Tamandua tetradactyla: one gene and its partner. The protein of the gene in region 2 purifies or fractionates together with the protein of the main gene of each other region. This does not show direct contact. Links are inferred from orthologs where the notes say so. Each region holds a gene or a part of one and is shown on either strand. Other genes may lie near its edges.

Region 1 (10,048 bases), about 540 kb from region 2:
GAGGAATGTTGGGGAACTGAGTCTGCTGGGAGTCAAATCATACACCGCTCTCCTGCCTTACCCCACCTCCAGATTCACGTTCCCCATACCCTTCCACACATTTATGTTTCTGTCCCCAGCTATGTGGAAAGGCAAAGAGCAGTGCATGAGAAGAATGGGAAGAGGATATGTACTTTGCCCAGCCCACCTTCCCCCTTGGCTTCCATGGTCCCAGTTGCTGATTCCTCGACAAGGGTGGACTCTCCCAGCCACGGTCTGGTGACCAGCTCCCTCTGCAGTCCTTCTCCAGCCTTGCTGTCCCAAACCTCCCAATCACAAGTCCCCCACCCTAGTACTTACAAGGTAAGAGGGGGAGGCTATTTTGCCTCCAACAGTTCATTCTCTTTCATTGTTCAGTTTCAGCCAATGTGAATATTGCACCCTCCACATCCTCCTTTTTTTTCCCCATCCCTAACTTTTCTTTTTTTTAATCTAAGTTTTTCCCTCTGCTTCTCCTACCCCTACTCCCCCAACCGTTCTGACACTTGCACCTTTGTCTCTCACTCCCTTGCAGATGAGTGTGGCCACACAGTGTGATCCAGAGGAGATTATCGTGCTCTCAGACTCTGATTAGCTGGTCCCCCTCTCTCCAACTCCAAAATGTTTAGAGATAGCATTTGGAGGATGATGGGCAGTAGATGACTGGAAGGAATGGACTAAGCTAATCCCCTTTTGGTGATGTTTCTTTAAGAAAAACAAAAGCTTAAGTTTTACACAGAAACATTAATAAACAATAAAATTCTTTTCTTACTGTATCCCTGTCTTCCTTGAATATGTACTGTCACAGATTGGCACCCGCTTCCGTCACACCTACTCCCGGCTCAGAGTTAGCCCAACCCCGGAGTAGCCCCGAAATTGCCCCTTGCGCTGCGACCATCCCTGCGCCCACAGCCCGCTGACAGGCACCAAAAAACATACTTCAGCCTCCTTAATACGCATTTATTTTTCACTTCGAGCGGTCGTAGTAAAAAGGCCAATCAGAGGCCGGCTCAAGGTTACTTGGCCAATCCAGGCTGGGAGGAAGAGGGCGGGACTTCAGAGGGAACTGTCAGAAACTGGAGGGCGAGGGCTATTAGACCTCGGAAACCTACTAATGGCCACCGCTCAGGGGCGGAGCCTGGCTAGCGATGGTCAGTACTCACCGCCAATGGGAAGAGGCAGGCTTACAGAATTAAAGGGGAATGAATGCTTTGGCCAAACTAAGTCCTGAGTCCTCAGCGGAGGAAGGAACCTGATACCTTTAACGTAGAATGAGGCGATGATTCTTTAAAGGAGAAGTGGCCGAGTCGGCAGACTATTGCCTAGCAGCACGGGTGGGGTGCCCGCCTGTGCCTTTAAAGTTAGAGGGGCGGGAGGCGGAGCGGGGGCGGAGGGCGGAGGGAGTCGGCGCAAGATGGCGGCGGGAGGGGCTCAGGCTGCGGCTCTGGTCGCCGAGTGAGGGGCGGGGGGGCCCGGGGGCGCGCGGCCCGGTAAGCGGGGACGCGCGGGGTTGGGGGGCGCCTTCCGGGTGGGAGAGAAGACCGAGTTAGCGCTTGGGGCGGAGCGGAAGGGGGCGGGGTCCTTGTGGGCGGGGGTAAGCAAGAGGCGTGGTCGAAAGGACCGAGGGGCGGGGCATGGGTGGGTCCTCCAGGGGGCGTGGCTAGGCGTAAACTGGGGGCAAATGGGGCGTGGTCGCGAGAGAGCCGGGGGCAGAGAGAAGGATGGTTTTCAGTACCAGAGCAGACCTGCCCCTTCCCAAGAACAGGGTGCAAAAGACCCAAGAGGTAGATTTTGGAATGTCACTCAGACAAATGGAAAACAGGGTGTAATTTTGAGGGGAAGCACCCTTCGAAAGACTAAAGTGCCTTATTTCTTTAACACCAAGTAAAGAGCACTGAATTTGGAGTCAGGAGACCTGTATTTGCTGATATTGGCACTTACTGGCTGCATGACCTTGAATAGTTGCTTAATCTTTCCGAGCCTGTGCTCTCATCTGTCAAATGAGGTTGAGAGAAATACTGATCTTACAATGCTGTGGGAAGTTACTCAGAAAATGGGTTTGAACATGTTTGTAAACTAAGGGACTGTGTAGTAGTTATGAGATGCTATCGTTATTCTTCTCTCTTTTTTTCCCCAGAGACCCCCCCGGCCGCCCTCCTCCTTCCCTTGTTCCTGTGGCTGGGGGGGTACCCCCTCTTCACCATGGAGCCATCTCCCCTCTCTCCCAGCGGGGCAGCACTCCCCTTGCCCCTATCGCTGGCCCCACCCCCACTGCCCCTACCAGCAGCTGCAGTGGTACATGTGTCCTTTCCTGAGGTGACCAGTGCCCTCTTGGAGTCCCTCAATCAGCAGCGGCTGCAGGGGCAGCTGTGCGATGTGTCCATCCGCGTGCAGGGCCGGGAGTTCCGGGCTCATCGTGCTGTCCTTGCGGCCTCCTCCCCTTACTTCCACGACCAGGTCCTGCTGAAGGGCATGACCTCTATCTCGCTGCCCAACGTCATGGATCCAGGCGCCTTCGAGACTGTCCTGGCCTCAGCTTACACTGGCCGCCTCAGCATGGCTGCTGCCGACATTGTCAACTTCCTCACAGTGGGGTCTGTGCTCCAAATGTGGCACATCGTAGACAAGTGCACTGAGCTCCTCCGCGAAGGCCGAGCCTCAGGCACTGCCACCATCACCACTGCTGCAGCCACCTCGGTCACTGTCCCTGTTGCTGGGGGCCCGGCAGGAAGTGGGGGCACCATGGCACCTGCCACCGTAGGCTCTGTGCGCTCTCATGCTTCCAGCCGTGCTAGTGAGAACCAGTCCCCCAGCAGCAGCAATTACTTCAGTCCCCGCGAATCCACTGATTTCTCTTCTTCTCAAGAGGCCTTTACAGCTTCTGCAGTGGGCAGTGGGGAGCGGCGTGGAGGTGGCCCTGTATTTCCAGCCCCTGTGGTTGGCAGTGGGGGGGCCACATCTGGGAAGCTGCTACTGGAAGCTGATGAGCTGTGTGATGATGGTGGGGATGGCAGGGGGGCAGTGGTCCCTGGGGCTGGACTCCGGCGTCCCACATACACCCCACCCAGCATCATGCCACAGAAACACTGGGTATATGTGAAGCGGGGTGGAAACTGCCCCGCACCAGCACCCCTAGTTCCCCAAGACCCAGACCTGGAGGAGGATGAGGAGGAGGAAGACCTGGTGTTAACCTGTGAGGATGATGAAGATGAAGAGCTAGGGGGTGGCTCAGTGGTCCCAGCGGGGGGAGGACCTGAGGCTACCCTTAGCATAAGTGATGTCAGGACCCTGACTGAGCCTCCAGATAAGGGGGAGGAGCAGGTCAACTTCTGTGAGTCTTCAAATGACTATGGCCCTTTTGAGGGTGGGGGTCCTGGGGCAGGCCTGGATGACTCAGGGGGGCCAACCCCCTCCTCCTACACCCCCTCCCACCCTCCACGGCCCCTGCTTCCCCTGGACATGCAGAGCAACCAGATCCTGGTCTTCCCATCTTCCTCCTCCACCTCCTCCTCCTCCTCCCAGGCTCCAGGCCCCCCACAGGGGAACCAGGCTGAGCATGGGGCAGTGACCCTAGGGGGCACGGCAGGGAGCCTAAGTGTGCCCGGGAGCACTGGCGGGGCCCCTGGGGGGACAGGTGGTGGAGACGGGAATAAGATCTTTCTATGCCACTGCGGGAAGGCCTTCTCGCACAAGAGCATGCGGGACCGGCACGTCAACATGCACCTCAACCTGCGGCCATTTGACTGCCCCGTGTGCAACAAGAAGTTCAAGATGAAGCACCACCTGACGGAACACATGAAGACACACACAGGCCTCAAGCCCTACGAGTGCAGCGTCTGCGCCAAGAAGTTCATGTGGCGAGACAGCTTCATGCGCCACCGGGGACACTGTGAGCGCCGGCACCGCCTGGGTGGGGCCGGGGCGGGGCCCGGGGCGCCCACGGGGCCCACAGTACTGCCCAAGCGAGAGTCCCCCGGAGCTGGCCGGGGCAGCGGAGACGAGGCGAGTGGAGCCACGCCCCCGCCCAACCGAAGGGTCTGGTCCCCATCTGGCGTCCACAAGGTGGAAATGGGCTTTAGTGGGGGCGGAGGGGCAAACTGAGAGGGCAGAGCTACTAAGGGTAGCTTTAAGGGAAGAGTGAATAGGGAACACAATTCGGGGGCATTTGGCCCCGGAGAGCTCTCCCATCACACGCAATGTCTTCCTAATCTCTCTGGACTTGTATATACTTGAGAGGAGGAACCAAGTAGCACAGTCTACAGACCATTCCATTCCTCAGCTCCACTCACCCCCTCCCGCGGGGGAGGGTGTCTCTTCTCTTCTTTTCCTCAGATAGATACACTACTGAAGCCCCAGCTCCACAGTAGGGAGTGCATGGAGGAGAGAGGGGGAAATGTTGAGCATCCTGGAATCACAGGGTCAGGGGTCCGAAGGCTGTAGTGTGTGCCTGAAGTCTGTGTTTGTGTTTTGTGGGGACCAGGTCTTCGAGCCCCGCCCTTGTCCTAGAACTTATCCCTCCTGTTTCCCAGGTTGCACCCTTATTTCTACCCCTACTTCTACGCCTCCCCTCCTCCCCTCATCTCTCCAGTTCGGTTCTCAGGGGGGAGGGGGTGGACACAAGGAGGGAGTAAGTCGTAGGAGTACAAGGGTCTTATTTTAATTTTTTAAAATGGTGATTAAAATATTTATTGGTCATTGCAATTGGCTTCCCAACAACCCCTGTGTGTCTTTGCTGGGGATCCGGCACAGGTGGGGGAAAGTGGTGTAAAGTTCCCGGGGGGGGGGGGGGGGGGGAGCCCGGGGAAGGGGAGGGTTTTGGAACTGGAACTTGCTGGCCGGCCCAGGAGGGCGCGGCAGGCCTGAGGTGCCCGATAGAGAACTGGTGAGGATGTTCCCGGATCCCTGCTCCGCGAGTGGGGCGCGCCGCCGCCACGCGCACCTCCTCACCTAACCAGAGCGGGGATTTCCTCAGCCCCTCCTGCTGGCCATTAGAGGAAAGTGAAAGTGAAAGGGGGGAAGAGGAGGCTTTCAGGGCTGAGGAGATCGCAGCGCCATGAAGCCCCTGTCCCTGCTCCTCGCTGTGGCTTTGGGTGAGCGAAACCTGCGACTCCTCGCCCAGGGATGGGGTGAGGTGGGGTGGGGCGGAGTGATCCCGCCGGGAGCCCGGGGCCGTGGGGGGGGGGGGGCGGGGAGGGCCGGTCACCCTATATCCCGGCCGCCCCCTCACTCGCGTCCTTCTCCCCCAGGCCTGGCGACCGCCGTCTCGGCCGGGCCCACCGCGCTTGAGTGCTGGTTCGTGGAGGATGGGGGCAGCCTGGCCAAGAAACCCGCTGCCCTGCTTCTGCGCCAAGGCCCGGAGGAACCGCCTCCCAGGTCCGACCTCGACCCCCAACTCTACCTCAACGTTCACGGTGCGTCTTCGGGGACTCGCCCCCAAGTCTGTAGGCTCTCTCCACCAGACCCTCCTTACGTAGCGTGATGACCTTGGGCCTCAGTTTCCCCCTCTGTAAAATGAAAGTCTGGATTACCTCTAACCTCTCACTACCCGGGTGGTTTGTTAATGTCAAATTCCCCGGACGCTGCCCTCGCTGTCCCTTTCCCGGCAGCGACTACAGCTGCGCCCCCACCATTCTCTGCACTTCCAGACCCCACGGGGGCCCTCCAGGCAGCCTTCAGGAGGTACCCCCGAGGCGCCCCGGTGCCACACTGCGAGATGAGCCGCTTTGTCCCGTTCCCTGCTTCCGCCAATTGGGCCAGTGGCCTGACCCCGGATGAGAGCTGCCCGCGAGCTCTGGATGGGACTTGGTTCATGGTCAGCATGTCCAGCCCTGTTCTCAGCCTCTCCATCCTGCTGCGGCCACAGCCCGAGCCTCAAAAGAAGCCTGTTTTCATCACGCCGGCCACAGGTAGCTGGAGCGGGGAGGTGGAGGAGGATGGGGAGATTCCAGGGGTCCCAAGTGTACCGGTAACTTGACAGAGTTATTTCCCCAATCGGGCTCAGCTTCCATATTTGTAAAGAGAAGCAGTCCGGCTAGAATTAGATAAAGTATCTCTACCATTCCTTCTAGCTCCCATCTAGAAAAAAAGTAGCGACCTCGGCTGGAAGTTGGGGCGGAGCCTCTTAGCGTTCCCAGGAGCGAAACTTTGGAGAAAGGCGGGGCTTGCAGGACTGGCTTTGAGAAACATGCTAGGTGATTGGATTGGGAGGGGCTTAGAAGCAGGAATTTCTTTCTCCTCTCCGCCCAGATCTATATCTTGCTGGGCACCGCCACCCTTGAAGTTCACCCTCTTTCGAAACCACCTTCGAGCCGCACCCTCACCCACACGAGGTGCCTGCGGCAGTCAGCAAAGCAAAAGCTCTTGCTTTCAGGTGGGCGTACCTCTGCGGCCTTCTCTTTGGCGCGGGAGGATGCGCAGATTCTGTGGTCATCTATTGGCTGACTCCAGTGGGAGCCAGAGAGGGCCGGGAGAACCACTGGTTCCCACTGCCCTGACCGCTTACTGCGTTGTGCAATGCGGATTGAGGCCCAGGGCTGGGACGAGGGGATAGCATGGTCGGATAGTGTCAGAATGGGGAAGATCTGACCCCAGCATCCAGGAGGGTGGGTAGGACACAGGTAATGTCCTCGGCTTCCCTCAGTCTCTGCGATCAGATCAACCTCAACCGAACCCCTGTTCCCTCCCTTCCACTGTACTCACTCCCTACCACTCTCACTAAGAGTCCCGTGACACAGGGGCGATGGAAATGTCCTCAGTGCCCCTCCCTCAGTAAGAATGACTACCCCTCCATTCTTAGTCCCCAAGCTGCTCCTGTGGGGACAGCGCCCTCTCCAGTGGGAAAGAGTATATCTCGGGCCTGCAGGCTTCACTGCAGCACCCCGTGAGACTGTCCTTTTCTCTCAAAGTCTGTTTTTTAAACTGTAAAATGTGGATACTATTTCCCATCTGTCTTTCTGTTGCTGTGACTAGCACTTTCTGTGTTAATCTGATTCACCAATTCAATAAATATTTATTGGCACCAAGAGTAAGTTGTGGCCCAGTTAGTTCTCAGTCCTGGCTAAAAATTAGAGTCGTCTGGGAAGCTTTAAAAACATACTGAAGCCCCGGGTCCCACCCCAGGTCAATTAATCAGAATCTCAGGGATGGCAGTGGGCACTGCTAAGAATCACAAAGGAGATCACAGGTAGACTCAGCTCTCAAGGAGGTTCTGGGCTGTTACAGGGGGATGAGATCTGTAATAATTCTCATGTGAAGTAGAAAGCAATTTGTGCTTTGAAACAAGTGCAGTTAAGGAGCCATGGAATTGCTCGGGCAGGAAGATTATCTGCAGCTCACAGGCCACTTGGGGTAAAACCAAGTTGGTAAAAACAAGTCATTGTGCTTTATCTTCCTTTTCAAGTGTTTCTAGATTAAGCGTTCAAGACTATGAAAAAAGTTTTGATGTAAAAATTAAAATAGAATATTTTTAGGTCATAGACCATTGATGATTTTGCTATAAAAATTTATGTATTATTTCTTTTCAAATTAGTTAACAATTTGAAATGTCTGTTGGCAACTATTTTTTCTTATATCTTGTGTTCATAGTATTTAATTCTCACTATTTTTAAAAACATTATGGAAAATTTCAAAGATACATAACAGTCGAGAAAATACTATAATGAAGCTGCACATATTCATCACCCGCTTATACAGTTATCACACTTTACCAAATTGTTTCACATTCTCACCCACCTTTTTTTTTTGCCAGAGTATTTTAAAGTACATCCAAGACATCATATTATTTTACTCTTAAATTCTCCACTGAGCATCTCTATTACATAAGGATTTAATATTTATAACCACAATACCATCATCACCCCTAACAAAACAAACATTAATTCCTTAATATCATCACATTTCTAGCCCATATTAACATTTTCCTGATTGTCTTAATTATGTAATTTTACAGTGGATTTGCTTAAATCAGGATTCAAAAACAACCATATATTGTATTTGGTTGTTTTGTCTTGTCTCTTTCATTCTATAATTGCTCACACAACTCCTCTTCCCCCACCCTAATGCGATTGTTTGTTGGGGAAACCTAGTCATTTGTCCTGTAGACTTTCCCACATTCCATATTCAGCCAGTTTTTTTCTGCTTGCTGACATTTATCTTGTTCTTCTTTCCTCTATGTTTCCGATAAACTGGTAGTTAGATCTAGAGCCTTGATTAGATTTGGGCTCAAATTTTTACTTCAATGTTACTATATAATAGGTACTACCATTCACTTTTTCAAAGCACAGAAAAGCAAAAGCTATGTATACAAGTTACAAAAATAGAGGTAGAAACTTTCCTTACTATTCTTTTTACTCCTGTATGTTCACAGAGTACAGCTTATGGGATGCAGGTCTAAAGCTGCTTCCAATATCTCATAATAAAAATCACTGTTGGCTTAAAAGTTAAACCATAAAACCTTTACAGTGGATTGTTTTTAACAATTCTAAAGTATGTCTCTGGATTTTGATAAACCAAGTGAAATTATATACTGTTTTACTCTACTAATTAAAATTTTTCCATGACAAAAGCTTAACCTTTTAGGCCTCAGACGCTAGGATTAAAAATGGCATAATCAGAGGAGAATATTTCTTCTACCTAGAAGACCCAGACATTTTGGAGAAGAAGTTAGCAGTAGAACTGACTGAAGGACATGGAGTATTTAGATGTTTGGGAAAATGGAAAAGGGCATTGTAGACTGAAGGACCCTCAGGACCAGAGCAAAGAGACGTCCAGTGACTAGAGTTTCTAGCAGGAGCAAGAAATAGATTCTATGTGACAGGTTCTTAGGGTGTGAGAGGTGTCTGGAAACGTGAAGGCTAGTTTATCACATACCTTGAAAGTTGGGCTTTATCCTATAAGTGATGTTGAACCATCAGAAAATTCTTTTTGTGATTTTTCAAAAAATTCTGTTATTTTACTTGATTATTATAAGAGATAGGCAAGGATCATTGGATTCATGAGGAAAATAAAGGGTGTCACTTTCCCAAGGTACCCAGCCGGTCCATGATAGTGACAATAGTAATGAAAATATTAACTAACTTTGAGCTAAGCCCTGTTCTAAGACTTTACATGCAAAATCTCATTTATTTTTCTTGACACCACAGGAAATGGGTGCTACTATTATCTCCATTTTATAGATGAAGAAATCTGAGGCTCAGATTAGTTAGGTAACTTGCCCAAGGACATGCAGCTTGTAAGAAACAGAGCTAGGAATTAAATCTGGATCATCTGGCTCCAGCTTGTGCCATTAGCTGCTGACTTCCTACGTACTTGGGATTCTTCAAAGAGAAACTGAGGTTAGACAAGAGAGTAGGCCGTTGTAATTGTCCAAATATATGTTGATTAAGAATCTGAGCTGGAGTGAGGACAACCAAATCAATGGGCTGAGCCCTCTATCTTAGGGTTTGCCCTATGAAAATTATTTCTGCAAAGAATAAGCTAAGTGTACTTAAAATTAGGCCTAAGAGTCACCCTCCCCCCCACCCCCACCCCCCAGAGAACCTCTTTTGTTGCTCAGATATGCCCTTTCTCTCTAAGCCAACTCAGCAGGTGAACTCACTGCCCTCCTTCCTACTTGGGACATGACTCCAAGGGTGTAAATCTCCCTGGCAACGTGGGACAGAAATCCTGGGATGAGGCAGGACCTGGCATCATGGGATTGAGAAAGCCTTCTTGACCAAAAGGGGGAAGAGAGAAATGAGACAAAATAAAGTTTCAGTAGCTGAGAGATTTCAAACAGTGTCAAGTGGTTATCCTGGAGGTTATGCTCATGCATTATACAGATATTCCTTTTTAGTTTATGATATATTGAAGTGGCTGGAGGGAAATAACTGAAACTGTTGAGATGTGTTCCAGTAGCCTTGATTCTTGAAGATTATTGTATAAAGATATAACGTTTACAACAACAACAACAACAAAAGAATCTGAGCTGGAAACAGATGTGAGATCTTATTTGTGAGAAAGAATTAGGGCCTGGCAGAGATGGTATGTAGCA
Region 2 (11,043 bases):
AAAGAGCCAAGAGGGACAGGGGACAGGACTGTCAAAAGTCTGGGTGTGGAGCACTGCATTTAAGTGCTGATTAGGTTTTCTTCTGGTCAGAGAAGGCTGTAACTAGAGTAGGCTGGGCTAACAGTGCAGAATTCAAGTTGGAGATGACAAAACCTGAGCTTGAGGGGATGGAGAGTTTATGTAGGGGTAGGGGAAGGGCATTTGATAAAGCCAAATATCAGCTCCCAGCTCTGAACTTGCTGTGTGGCTTCTGTCAAGTGACTTAATCTTTCTAAGCCTCCATCTGTCCTTAGACAAAAATAATAATAGGACCCTTTGAAGCCTTAACCTAAAATGTACAGGGTTCCTATTTGGAATGATGGAAATGGATCGTGGTGATGGTAGCTGTATTAGTCAGGGTTCTCTGGAGAAACAGAACCAACAGAAGAGATCTGTAAGTATGAGATTTATAAAGGTGTGTCATGCAACTGTGGGAATGGAAGAGTCCAAAATTCACAAGGCAGGCTATGAAACTGGTGGTTACAATGAAGAGTCTGGATGAACTCCACAGGGAAGGCTTGTTAGCCTTCGACTGATTGGATTATCTTGTTGTAGGAAACATGCCTTAGTTGATAGCAGATGTAATCAGCCACAGATGTAACCAACTGACTGATGATTTAACACACCAGCCTTCCAGTTTATCAGTCAACCATGAAATATCCTTGCAGCAACAGTCAGACCAGTGCTTGCTTGGCCAGACAACTGGGCATCATCACCTGGTCCAGTTTATACCATAGCCTAACCTTCACAGTAGCATAACATTGTGAATGCAGTTAATAGCACTGAAATAAATATCCAAATATGATTAAAAGGGGAAATGTTAGATTGTATATATACAACAGATTAAAAATTTAAAAAAAATCCATGGAGTTACACTACACAAACAGTGGACCCTAAGGTAAACCATGGACTTTAGTAAATAGTACATTACAAAAATATGCTATCATCAATTGTTACAAAAGTTCCACCTCAATGCAAGGGATTGGTAGTGGATGGTGTATGGGAATCCTGTATTTTGTGCACATTTGTTCTGTAAATGCTCAACTTCTCTAATAAAGAGAATAATAATGATAGTAGTACCTATATAGGGCTTTTGTTTGGATTCAAAGAGCTGATGTTTTTAAAGTGCTGAACAAATGCCTGGCTCAATAAACACAGGTCTTTTATTGTTATTGCTATTAATCTTTCAAATCCAAAAGCACCCCCTAAATATTTAAGTATTTATCATGTATTGGTCTTTCATGTGAATGAATGTGTTATGAAGGGAATTCTTTTGTATGAGTTTGCTGGAGCTATTAGCTGATTCTCCCGTGTGAAGTTGTCTTGTACACTCATTAGCTTTAGCTCTTAAAAGAATGAGTTCCAACTCTTCACTTGTACCGTTAGGCATCAGAATGAATTTTTAATTGCTTCTAATATTTCAAAATCACTCAGTACATGATGACCTGAGCATAGGGCTCTTTCCAGTTCTAGTACGTCCCCCACCCTATCTCCAAACCCCTTCTTCTGGGAAGGATGTTTTAGACCTGGGGACAAAAGAACAAAAAGGGTATGCTGGCACCTGGAAGGGAAGACTCTCCCTCCCTAATAAGCTTCATCCAGTTGAATGCCCAGTTCCCGTTGACCATACCAGGTTTTGGTCTTAGAATGTTTATTACAAAATATGGAAGCAAAGTCTGAGTAGATTCATTCATCATAGAACTTTGGCAGCTCATTGCCCAAGATGACTCGATGGTCCACACCAGCAGCTGTGATTGTGACCAGGTAGATGACACCCCCACTGGAGCCATCCCGGCCCATGGCCAGAGCGATAGCTGCATAGGGTTTCAAGTTGGAGAGAGGGAGAGAGAAAACGGCTTAGCTTCAACAATCTTTTCCTTCCCCTCCTGTTGATGTGCCTATTAGCACTTCCAGACCTCAAAACCCATGTCTCAGAGGGACATATTTAGTGGTGTGCTGGTAAACCAGCTGGAAAAAAAGGTCTTGATCTGTACCATCTGCTGATGTGCGTGGTATAAATACCCCACCATGATCAATGTCAAGTTTAACAAGCAGCTTACAAAATACCTGTAGATTTAATAATCGGCTCTCATGAGTTGGTCCAAGCCAGCGCCAGCATACTCTCGGTTCTTACCATGACCATACTGCATGATTTGGTTCACTCAGGACTATCCTGGTTTATTCCTATTGGCCTGAAGTTCTATCTAGTTTAGCATTTCTCCTGCCCCCTTTCACTCTCAAAAGTGTTCCAGTTTGGATATTAAATTAAATAAATGGTCACTCATGTATTCCACTTCCTGTTCCTCATTAATTCACTTCTTTCTCATGTTTAAAAATCCCTTCCCAGGTTCCCTTCCACTTGTTGATTTACCATCTGTAGTGAAGCGTCTGCACTCCTCAGGGGACATGCCTGGTTTATATGCTGCATCCACATAACCGTAAATGTAGGTGCTGCCGGAGCCACCAATGGCGAAGGGCTGTCGCGTCAGCATTCCTCCCAGAGTTCCATATACCTAGGTGGGGGCGTCCTCAGGTCAGACTAAAGAGTCATCAACCTTCCCCTTCGCACTGAGACAAGCAGATGGCCTCCCCATTCTGCAGTAAAGCTCTGGTATCTCACAGCCCAATAGTTGAGACTCTGTCCTTTGAAACTCATTGCTAGAATGACATATGCCTACCATCTTGTTCCATACAGAAGGGTGGAACCCTTGGGGAGGGGGCAAGTTAGGAGACACTCACCTGGCCCCCTTCACGTTGGTCCCAGCCAGCTATCATGAGATGTGCAGAGAGATCCTCCCGATACTTATAGGTGATATTCTTCACCACGTTTGCAGCAGCCAGAACGAGGGGAGAGTCCTCCAGTTCCAACCTGACGGAGATATTAGGCGTAGGGGTCTCATAATCTCCTCAAGTCCCGGCCTCTGGTGCTATTACCACTATACCTGCCAAATGACCTATAATACTTATATTAGTTCAAATTCCAGCTTCCCTTCCACACGTACAGGGCAACCAGGGTTTCAACCAGGGTTTCATGTCACCAATTTATAAGGAGCTTTCTGTGGTCTTCTCCCTGCCCCACCCTACCTCCAATTACTTAATTGTCCTTTGTCTACAAGGACCCTGACCTTGTATGGAAAGGCAGATAAGCTTTATTTCTGCTTGAATGGCCTTGATTTCTCATACATTAACTTTGATCGAGATTATGGTGGGCCACGTGATCATTTTCTTCCTTATTATTTATATCAGTGTAGTGATTTACAGTTTTCAAATGGCTTTCATATATATCATTTTATTATCAAAATAGCCATGATGTGAGGGTAGGTACTAGTATCTGCATTTTACAGGTACCGAAACTGGCTTATAGAGATTCAAGCACGCCAGTTCAAAGCTAATGAAAGCAGGAACCCAAATAAGAATTTCCCATTTCCTAACTCAATGTGCCTGGAACAGAGCCTCACATAGAACTTCATGGGGTTGGAGGAGCTCCAGTAAGCGTGGGGTCAGGAGCTCATGGCCAGTGGAAATTCCTACCCATGGAGTTCCAGCTGGTAGGAGGCCATGTCTGCCACGGCCTGGGCATCAGCAGCTGAGCCAGAGAGGGCACAGTAGATGCGCTGGTGTAGAGGGGTGAGCTTGTCAAACACTCGGTTCACCACTGCCTCTCTGTCAGGAAGGAAGAGCAGTCATCAATGTTAGAGTTGGCAGGAATTGGTAAGGTCAATCAATGAGTGCTTCTCAAATTTATTTGACAAGAGAACAGTCATGGAGTGCATAAAATTCAATGCTTGGATTAAAGCAGAAAGCTAAAACAGTCTCATGGATAAATGCATTGGTGCAAGAATTAGTCAGAGTTAGATTTATTTTTCAGGTTTAGATTTTATTACAGAAAAATAACCCTAAGTTAAGAAGGTAAGAGAAATGTACCTCAACAATTTTTTTTTTTTTGCTATTCATCATCTTGAGAAATGTAATGGAACACAACAAATGTAATATTGATCTAATCCCATATACTGATATTGCATGTGAAGGAATTCTGGCCAGGAAGGGAGAGTAGGGACAAAATTAGCTTAATAGTTGATAAATGAGAAATCAGAATATCTGCTCGGCAGAATCATCTCTTCTATCCCTAAATAGAGATGGAAGGAGGGACCCTCAAATTTCTATCTCTTGTCTCCCTCTAAGACTCTGTTCCTTTACACTCCACCCCCTTATACTACAGGAACAGGCCACATAAGCATCCAGATCCCATGTCCTTCCTTCATAAACTGAGAGACCCAAGCACCTACCCAATATCTTATTATAGTGGCCTGTCCTTTCTGAATGGTCTGGTCCATTTTTCCAAAGCTCCAGTTCACCAGTTTTTTGTTCATGAATGAGTAAGAAAAATACGTATTTGGTGCCATTAGTTCCTTCCAAATCCTTATAGTTTCACGGATACTCACCCTGCAGACACCCGAGAATCAGAGCCCACTACCACGCCCCCATCAAACTCCACTGCCATGATGGTCGTCTGCAGAGACACAGAGAACGGACTTCAGAGCAGGAAGTTCTGACCTCCGTACTACAGGTGAGGAGACCCTGCCGGAGAGGAGAGGCGACTGGCTCAAGGTCATACAGTAATACAGGCCAGGGCAGACCCCAGTACAAGGTCTTTTCTCCATCTTTCCACTTCTCTATTGCCTTATCCCACTTCAAGGGAACGCCACAGCACAGCCTTGATACAACAAATAAAGAACCACAACCCTAAGTCCCAACTTTCTTGGTGAAATCCTTTCCTTTCTAAAGAGAGATGGGGAAAGAGCCTCCTTGAGGTAGAAGTACTCCCTTGGAGGGAAGGGTTCGAGGGCACATAAGTAGTCCCACAAGTGAATTTTCTCTACTGCACAAGCTTATTATATGTTCCAATGGGTGCAGGTAACTTGGCAAGAATCTAGGAATCTGGGAATCAAGGTCAAGTTTGTTTGCCCAGAATCCTCCATTCTCATCCCCATTTAATCAGAAATGAATTTTTTCAGTGTACTGAACAATGTAAAACATTGAGCTGGTCAGTAGTTAGCGGAGCCAGGTATCAGGGCAGGAGGAAAGCAAGGAAGTTTCGCATAAGAAGTTTAAAATAAGTTTTGCTTGAGTTTCTGATCTAGGAGGTAAGTAGATCTTTCAGGCAGTAAGAGTAAGATGTGTACTGGGAGAGGATTGGATCAGGCTGTCTGGGCTGATTTTTTTCTAGGTCAAGAAAAGAATTAAGAAAAAAAAGAAAAGAATTAAGGAACAGTGATGAGGGATAAAGCTACACTTTCTCTACTCCTTGAATTGGAAGGAGTCTTAATGATCAAAGGAAGAAACTGAGTCATAGAGCAGGTAAGTGACACCAAGGTCACACTGAATCACTAGCAGAGCTGGAACTAAAACCCAGGTCTAACTCCTATGAAGTCTGACTTCTACTTCCTACTTTCCATTGCTCGTGCGGCAGTGAAGGGAGATTTTCTAACTTGCAAATGGTTTTACTGCGATTTTCCTCACTGTTATACCTTACTCTGGTACAACAGTTCACCATGCATTTGGCCAGAGAACTGGTGCAACCCCATCCTAGAGATTACTCTATAACAGAGCTGTCTGCAAACCTGGAATGGAGGCAGCAGTCTGGGAGTAGAGACCAGTCAGCCTTGGGGTTGCCATATGTCCCAGGCACCCAGCCTGGGCAGTCTCCCAGCAGGCATGTGGGAGTGGGGAGGGAAGAGTCAGGGAAGGGAACTGGCAACACCTGGAACAAGCAGGAACCTTCCTGAGCCAAGGTAGGGAAAAGCACCACCAGGTCCCACAGAACCCCCGTAATCAGTGCTTGGGCTATTATCACCCGTCTCTGCGGTGAGCTGATCCTGCTCAATCAGTGACCTTATACCCTCTTCCTAAGTGTAGTCCAACTTCATTTAGGGCACCGTCTCCTCATCTCTTTGCATCGCCTCTAGCCCCCGTTTTTGAATTAACCACCCACCTTGTCCACCCCAGAGTGAAAGTGAAAGCTTTTTAGAGCAGCTTCCCCTTGACGCTTCCAGCTAAGAGCCAAAACACCGCCCCCTACTCTAATGCCTCGAATGCCCAGGCCCTTCGCGGCCCCCTAGAAGACCTTCTTCAGAATAGAGATGCCTTAAGTTCACTGCGGGATGCAAGCAAGCCCTAGCTGCTACAAGCCACTTCCCCACATTTCTGTTAGTCTCCGCACACACTCCTCAGCGCTCCCAGGGTCTCCTTATCATTCCACCTTCTCCGACTCTCTGATAACCCTCAACCCCAGACCCATTACCCCGGTATGAACTTCTCCGGTCCGGGGTAAGTCCAGACTCGGCGCTCCCGCCCGCAACATCCCGGCTGCCTCCTCGCTGCCTGGGGCTCTGGTTTTCTGACCTGGGACAGCGCGCGGCGCGCAGCCTAGAGCCCCGCCCCTTCACCGCGCCCACCAGGGGGCGTCTGCGCCCTCGCTGTCAGGCTGGAAGCGGGGACGCAAACCTGTGTGGGGCAGATCTGCCCAGAGACAGATGACGAAAGGGCCCCGCTCTGAGACTTGGATGAGAAAGTTCTAGCAAGTGCGTCCCGCAGGAAAAGACCGGGAGAGGAGCGAAAGATGTGCGTGATGGAGCAGATGGGGACAACGGTGCCGCTCCCTAGAATCTTAGAATTGATATCCAGATAGTCTGGCCAGCCCCATTTGGAAGTGGGCGGTACAAGAGAGCCGGCTGCCGCTTTCGATTTCCCTTTCCCCTAAACGGCTACAATTCTTGGTAGCAAGACCGGGGACTTTCCCAGAGTTCCGCCCCGGCCCGCCCCTGCTCCCGCCTCCGGCCGTCAGCCCCGGCGCATGCTAGGTTACAGACGCAGGCGAGACCCGCAGGCTCCCGAAGGGAACCCGGGACAGCAGCCGCGAGCCGATGGCCGGCTCAGAGTCCCGGGCTCCCCGCGCGTGCCGGGCCTCCTGCGCGTGGCTGGGGGCGACGCTGCTGCTTCTCGCCGACTGTCTACTGCTCCGGCCCGCGCTGCCCGGGATATTCACTCTGCTGTTTCCCACCGCGCTGCCGCTGCTGCGGGTCTGGGGGGTGGGCCTGAGCCGCTGGGCCGTTCTGTGGCTGGGGGCCCGCGGGGTTCTCAAGACCAGAGTCTCCGATAGGGAAAGCACAGGAGTCCAGAGCTGGCTGGAAGCTTTGGAGCCTCTGGCAGTGGCACTGGGTTTGGCACTTCCGGGACTTGCCTCCTTTCGTGCGCTGGGCTTGTGGGGTGTCCCGAGGGATGCAGGCAGCTCCGGGCTGCTGCACTGGGCAGGTCGCGCCGATGTCTTCATCATCAGCTATGTTGCAGCGCTGCTCGCGGCCGCCCTGTGGCACAAACTTCGGGTGTCCTTCTGGCCTAGCGGCTCTGGAGACGCGGTGCTTCGGCTTCTCGCTTGTCTGAGCCCAGAGATACATACCTTTTCGCTCTTTCTGGTTTTGTTGATCCTCTCCTGTCTCGGTAAGAGGGACGCAGGTGGAGACCGGGAGGATGCAGGTGGTTAGTCAGGAAGCAAGTGTAATGGTCATGAGATGGGTGGTGGTAGTGTTATGGGAAATGTGCATCTGGTGACCCAGCTGAGGTCTCGAGGTGACCACTCCCGTCTGGAGAAAAGTGCATTGGACTGGGTGGGCTCAAGCCCGGGTCTCCAGTCCTGTCCCAGGCGCCACTTCTTTGGGCCACATTGGGCAAGACCTTTCCTCTTGGGCAGCAAGAGGAGGGTATTTTACTCCATCTCTAGCCTTTCTAGTTAAACCCTGGAAAGTCTGGTGGAGCAAACATAGGGCCGGGAGACCCAGGGCAGTCTCCTCAGGTAGGGGATTATGACCTCAGTGTCTTCTTTCTGCTTCTACTGTTAGGAATAAGGATAAGGGCAGCTGAGGGGTGGAATGAGGGATAGTCTGGTCAGAGGTGCCCTGCTTAGACTTAGTGTCTGTGACTGACCGGTCTTTCCTCTCCTACCCCAGGGGAAATGGCCATCCCGTTCTACACTGGTCGTCTCACTGACTGGATCCTACAAGATAAAGTAGCTGCTGCCTTCACCTACAACATAACTCTTATGTCTGCTCTCACCATAGCCAGGTCTGGGGGCTGAAGATGGATGGCTCAGAATGGGGGATCCCAGAAAAGAGGGAGCTGGAAATTGGGGCCTGCTGTCCAAAGTGCATAGCATCTGTGGGGGGTACCTGGGACCTTCCTTCTGCATCCTCCCAGCACCCCACCTGACCTTCCTTCTCCTCTGCCCCTAGCGCACTGCTGGAATTTGCAGGGGATGGAATGTATAACTACACCATGGGCCGTGTGCATAGCCACTTGCACGGAAACGTGTTTCAGGCTGTCCTGCGGCAGGAGACAGAGTTTTTCCAACAGAACCAAACAGGTTTTCACGAAACTCTTTCGCTATATGTTCATGTACTCTTTCTGTCCCCAATGCATTCTCTTTTACTTAGAAACGTGATACCTCTCTTATATGCACACATTGTCATTTCTTACTCTTGATGTATCTCAAGTTGGAGCAAAATATTCTTCTCTTTACCTTCAGAAAAACCTAGTTCCTTCTCCAGGATTTTCCCATAAATCTGTACCTCTCTGTCCTTAGATATAAATTTCAGACTTTCATTATGTCCTTAGAAACTATTTGAAAATTTTGACATCCTGGAGTCCAACTACCTCACTTTCCAGAGAAAGAAACTGAAGTTTAGATCCAAAATGCTGAAACTTTTGTAGTCACATATGGATCAAGACAAACTTGCAGGTTGAACCCCAGCCTTTTAATGCCTAGTGCTGTGCTCATTAGAGCCTCCTGGATTGCCTCCTAGCAGCATTCTCCCTTCTCCATTGCTATTACACAACCAGCTTAGGCTCTTCTTGCCTTTATGTAGAGTTTGGGATATACAAGTTCTTTAAGGAACAGGAAGCTTTCCGAAAAATAGAACTTCACATGGTGCTAATTTTCTCATAGTTAAAATGAAGATCTTTGGCAGGTTTTCACAGCCCCTTCATAGCTATTACACTCCTTCTGCCTGCAATGAGATTCCCGAATCCCTCCATACACCCATCCAACCTTGTTTTTCCCTAGAACACTGTGTTGATACCCCCACTCATGGCATCCTGGCTCATTGTTAGTCTTTCTCATCACTCTGAACCCATTGCATTCACTCTATGCTCTTCTCCCCAACCCCTGGCAGGTGCCATCACATCTCGGGTTACAGAGGACACAGCCACCGTGAGTGAGTCTCTGAGTGAGCAGCTGAGCCTGTTGCTGTGGTACCTCGTACGGGGGCTGTGCCTCTTCGGGTTCATGCTCTGGGGGTCAGTGTCCCTCACCATGATCACCCTGGTTGCCCTGCCTCTGCTTTTCCTTCTGCCTAAGAAGCTGGGAAAGTGGTACCAGGTATGTTCATGGAGTTGGCTTAACCTACACGGACCCTTTACCTCCCAGATTTGGCAGATTCATTTCCTCTTGGATTTCTTTACATTCAACTTTCTTGGTACCCTCATAATTCCCCGCCTTCATGGAACTCCCTGTTCCTGCAGTCCCATTTTTCTAGATTGCTCTTCCTTGATCTTCATACTCCCTGTATCTTTTCTCCTGACTTTTACCCAAAAATCTGTCTTTAAGAATATGATTCCCAACTTTTTGATGAGTCCTTTTCCTCTCCCTTATATCGCTCTAGCATAGTTGTATCCTTTTCTTTTCCCTCTTCTCTCTTATTCCTTTGCCTCTTCTCACCTTTAGTCTCCAACCAGTAACTCAGGTACTAATGAACCCTATTTCTTACCAACCCTCTCTGTGCATCCACAGTTGCTGGCAGTACAGATGCAGAAATCCCTGGCAGAGTCCAGCCAGGTGGCCATTGAGGCACTGTCAGCAATGCCTACAGTCCGGAGCTTTGCCAACGAGGAGGGAGAGGCCCGGAGGTTTCAACAAAAGCTGCAGGAAATGAAGAGACTCAGCCAACAGGAGTCGCTGGCCTATGCGGTTAACTACTGGACCACCAATGTGAGCACCTGGAAATGGATGCCCATTCTCTTGTCCCCGAGATGCCTTGACTCCATTCCCTTTGTCATGACCCTTTTCTCAACTCTGCCTCCACTGGGAAATGGTTGGTACAGTATTATCATCTGGGCAACCTGAGCCTCAATTTCCCTTCCCAAGGTCCCTAAACCCTTCCCTTTTTTTAGGGGTTCTAGATAGCTTTCATTCACTGTGCCACACAAAATTCTCCCAACATCCTCTTTTTTTTAAAATAATTTTAAATTAATTTTTAAATTTAAAAAATATGACAAGAAAGAAACACAAACATTCTTAACATGTGATCATTCTGTTCTACATATATAATCAGTAATTCACAGTATCATCACATAGTTGCATATTCATCATCATGATCATTTCTTAGAACATTTGCATCAATTCAGAAAAAGAAATAAAGACAACAGAAAAAGAAATAAAATGAAAACAGAAAAAAAAAGATTATACATACCATACCCCTTACCCCTCTCTTTCAGTGATCACTAGCATTTCAAACTAAATTTATTTTAACATTTGTTTCCCCACTGCTTATTTTTATTCAATTATTTATTTTTATTCCATATGTTCCACTCGTCTGTTGACAAGGTAGATAAAAGAAGCATCAGACACAAGGTTTTCACAATCACACAGTCACACTGTGAAAGCTACACCATTATACAATCATCTTCAAGAAACATGGCTACTGGAACACAGCCCCACATTTTCAGGCAGTTCCCTCCAGCCTCTGCATTACATCTTGAATAGCAAGGTGATATCTACTTAATGTGTAAGAATAACCTCCAGGATAACCTCTCACTCTGTTTGGAATCCCTCAGCCATTGACACTTTGTCTCATTTCACTCTTCCCCCTTTTGGTGGAGAAGGTTTTCTCAATCCCTTGATGCTGAGTCTCAGCTCATTCTAGGATTTCTGTCCCATGTTGCTAGGAAGGTACA

Evidence for each region. Proteins that work in one complex are often made in the same cells at the same time.
Region 1: the proteins of TAP1 (region 2) and TAPBP purify together in Homo sapiens (co-immunoprecipitation; 6 studies listed by BioGRID and IntAct, with this or other methods). This does not show direct contact. The link is inferred for Tamandua tetradactyla from reciprocal best matches to the Homo sapiens genes TAP1 and TAPBP.

Annotation. Positions count from the first base shown.
Region 1 is NC_135331.1:89,243,303-89,253,350, reverse strand, and holds the start of TAPBP (tapasin), read left to right. Parts: upstream 1-4,815; 5' UTR 4,816-4,990; coding exon of another isoform or gene 4,991-5,020; 5' UTR 5,021-5,071; coding exon 5,072-5,108; intron 5,109-5,264; coding exon 5,265-5,429; intron 5,430-5,663; coding exon 5,664-5,924; intron 5,925-10,048. Other genes in the region: DAXX (death domain-associated protein 6), read left to right, coding at 120-342, 554-613; ZBTB22 (zinc finger and BTB domain-containing protein 22), read left to right, coding at 1,133-1,169, 2,156-4,119. UniProt on the Homo sapiens protein: Involved in the association of MHC class I with transporter associated with antigen processing (TAP) and in the assembly of MHC class I with peptide (peptide loading).
Region 2 is NC_135331.1:88,702,132-88,713,174, reverse strand, and holds the start of TAP1 (antigen peptide transporter 1), read left to right. Parts: upstream 1-6,899; 5' UTR 6,900-6,962; coding exon 6,963-7,536; intron 7,537-8,042; coding exon 8,043-8,157; intron 8,158-8,324; coding exon 8,325-8,455; intron 8,456-9,263; coding exon 9,264-9,469; intron 9,470-9,880; coding exon 9,881-10,078; intron 10,079-11,043. Other genes in the region: PSMB9 (proteasome subunit beta type-9), read right to left, coding at 1,726-1,853, 2,411-2,552, 2,779-2,908, 3,571-3,702, 4,482-4,549, 6,341-6,400. UniProt on the Homo sapiens protein: ABC transporter associated with antigen processing. In complex with TAP2 mediates unidirectional translocation of peptide antigens from cytosol to endoplasmic reticulum (ER) for loading onto MHC class I (MHCI) molecules.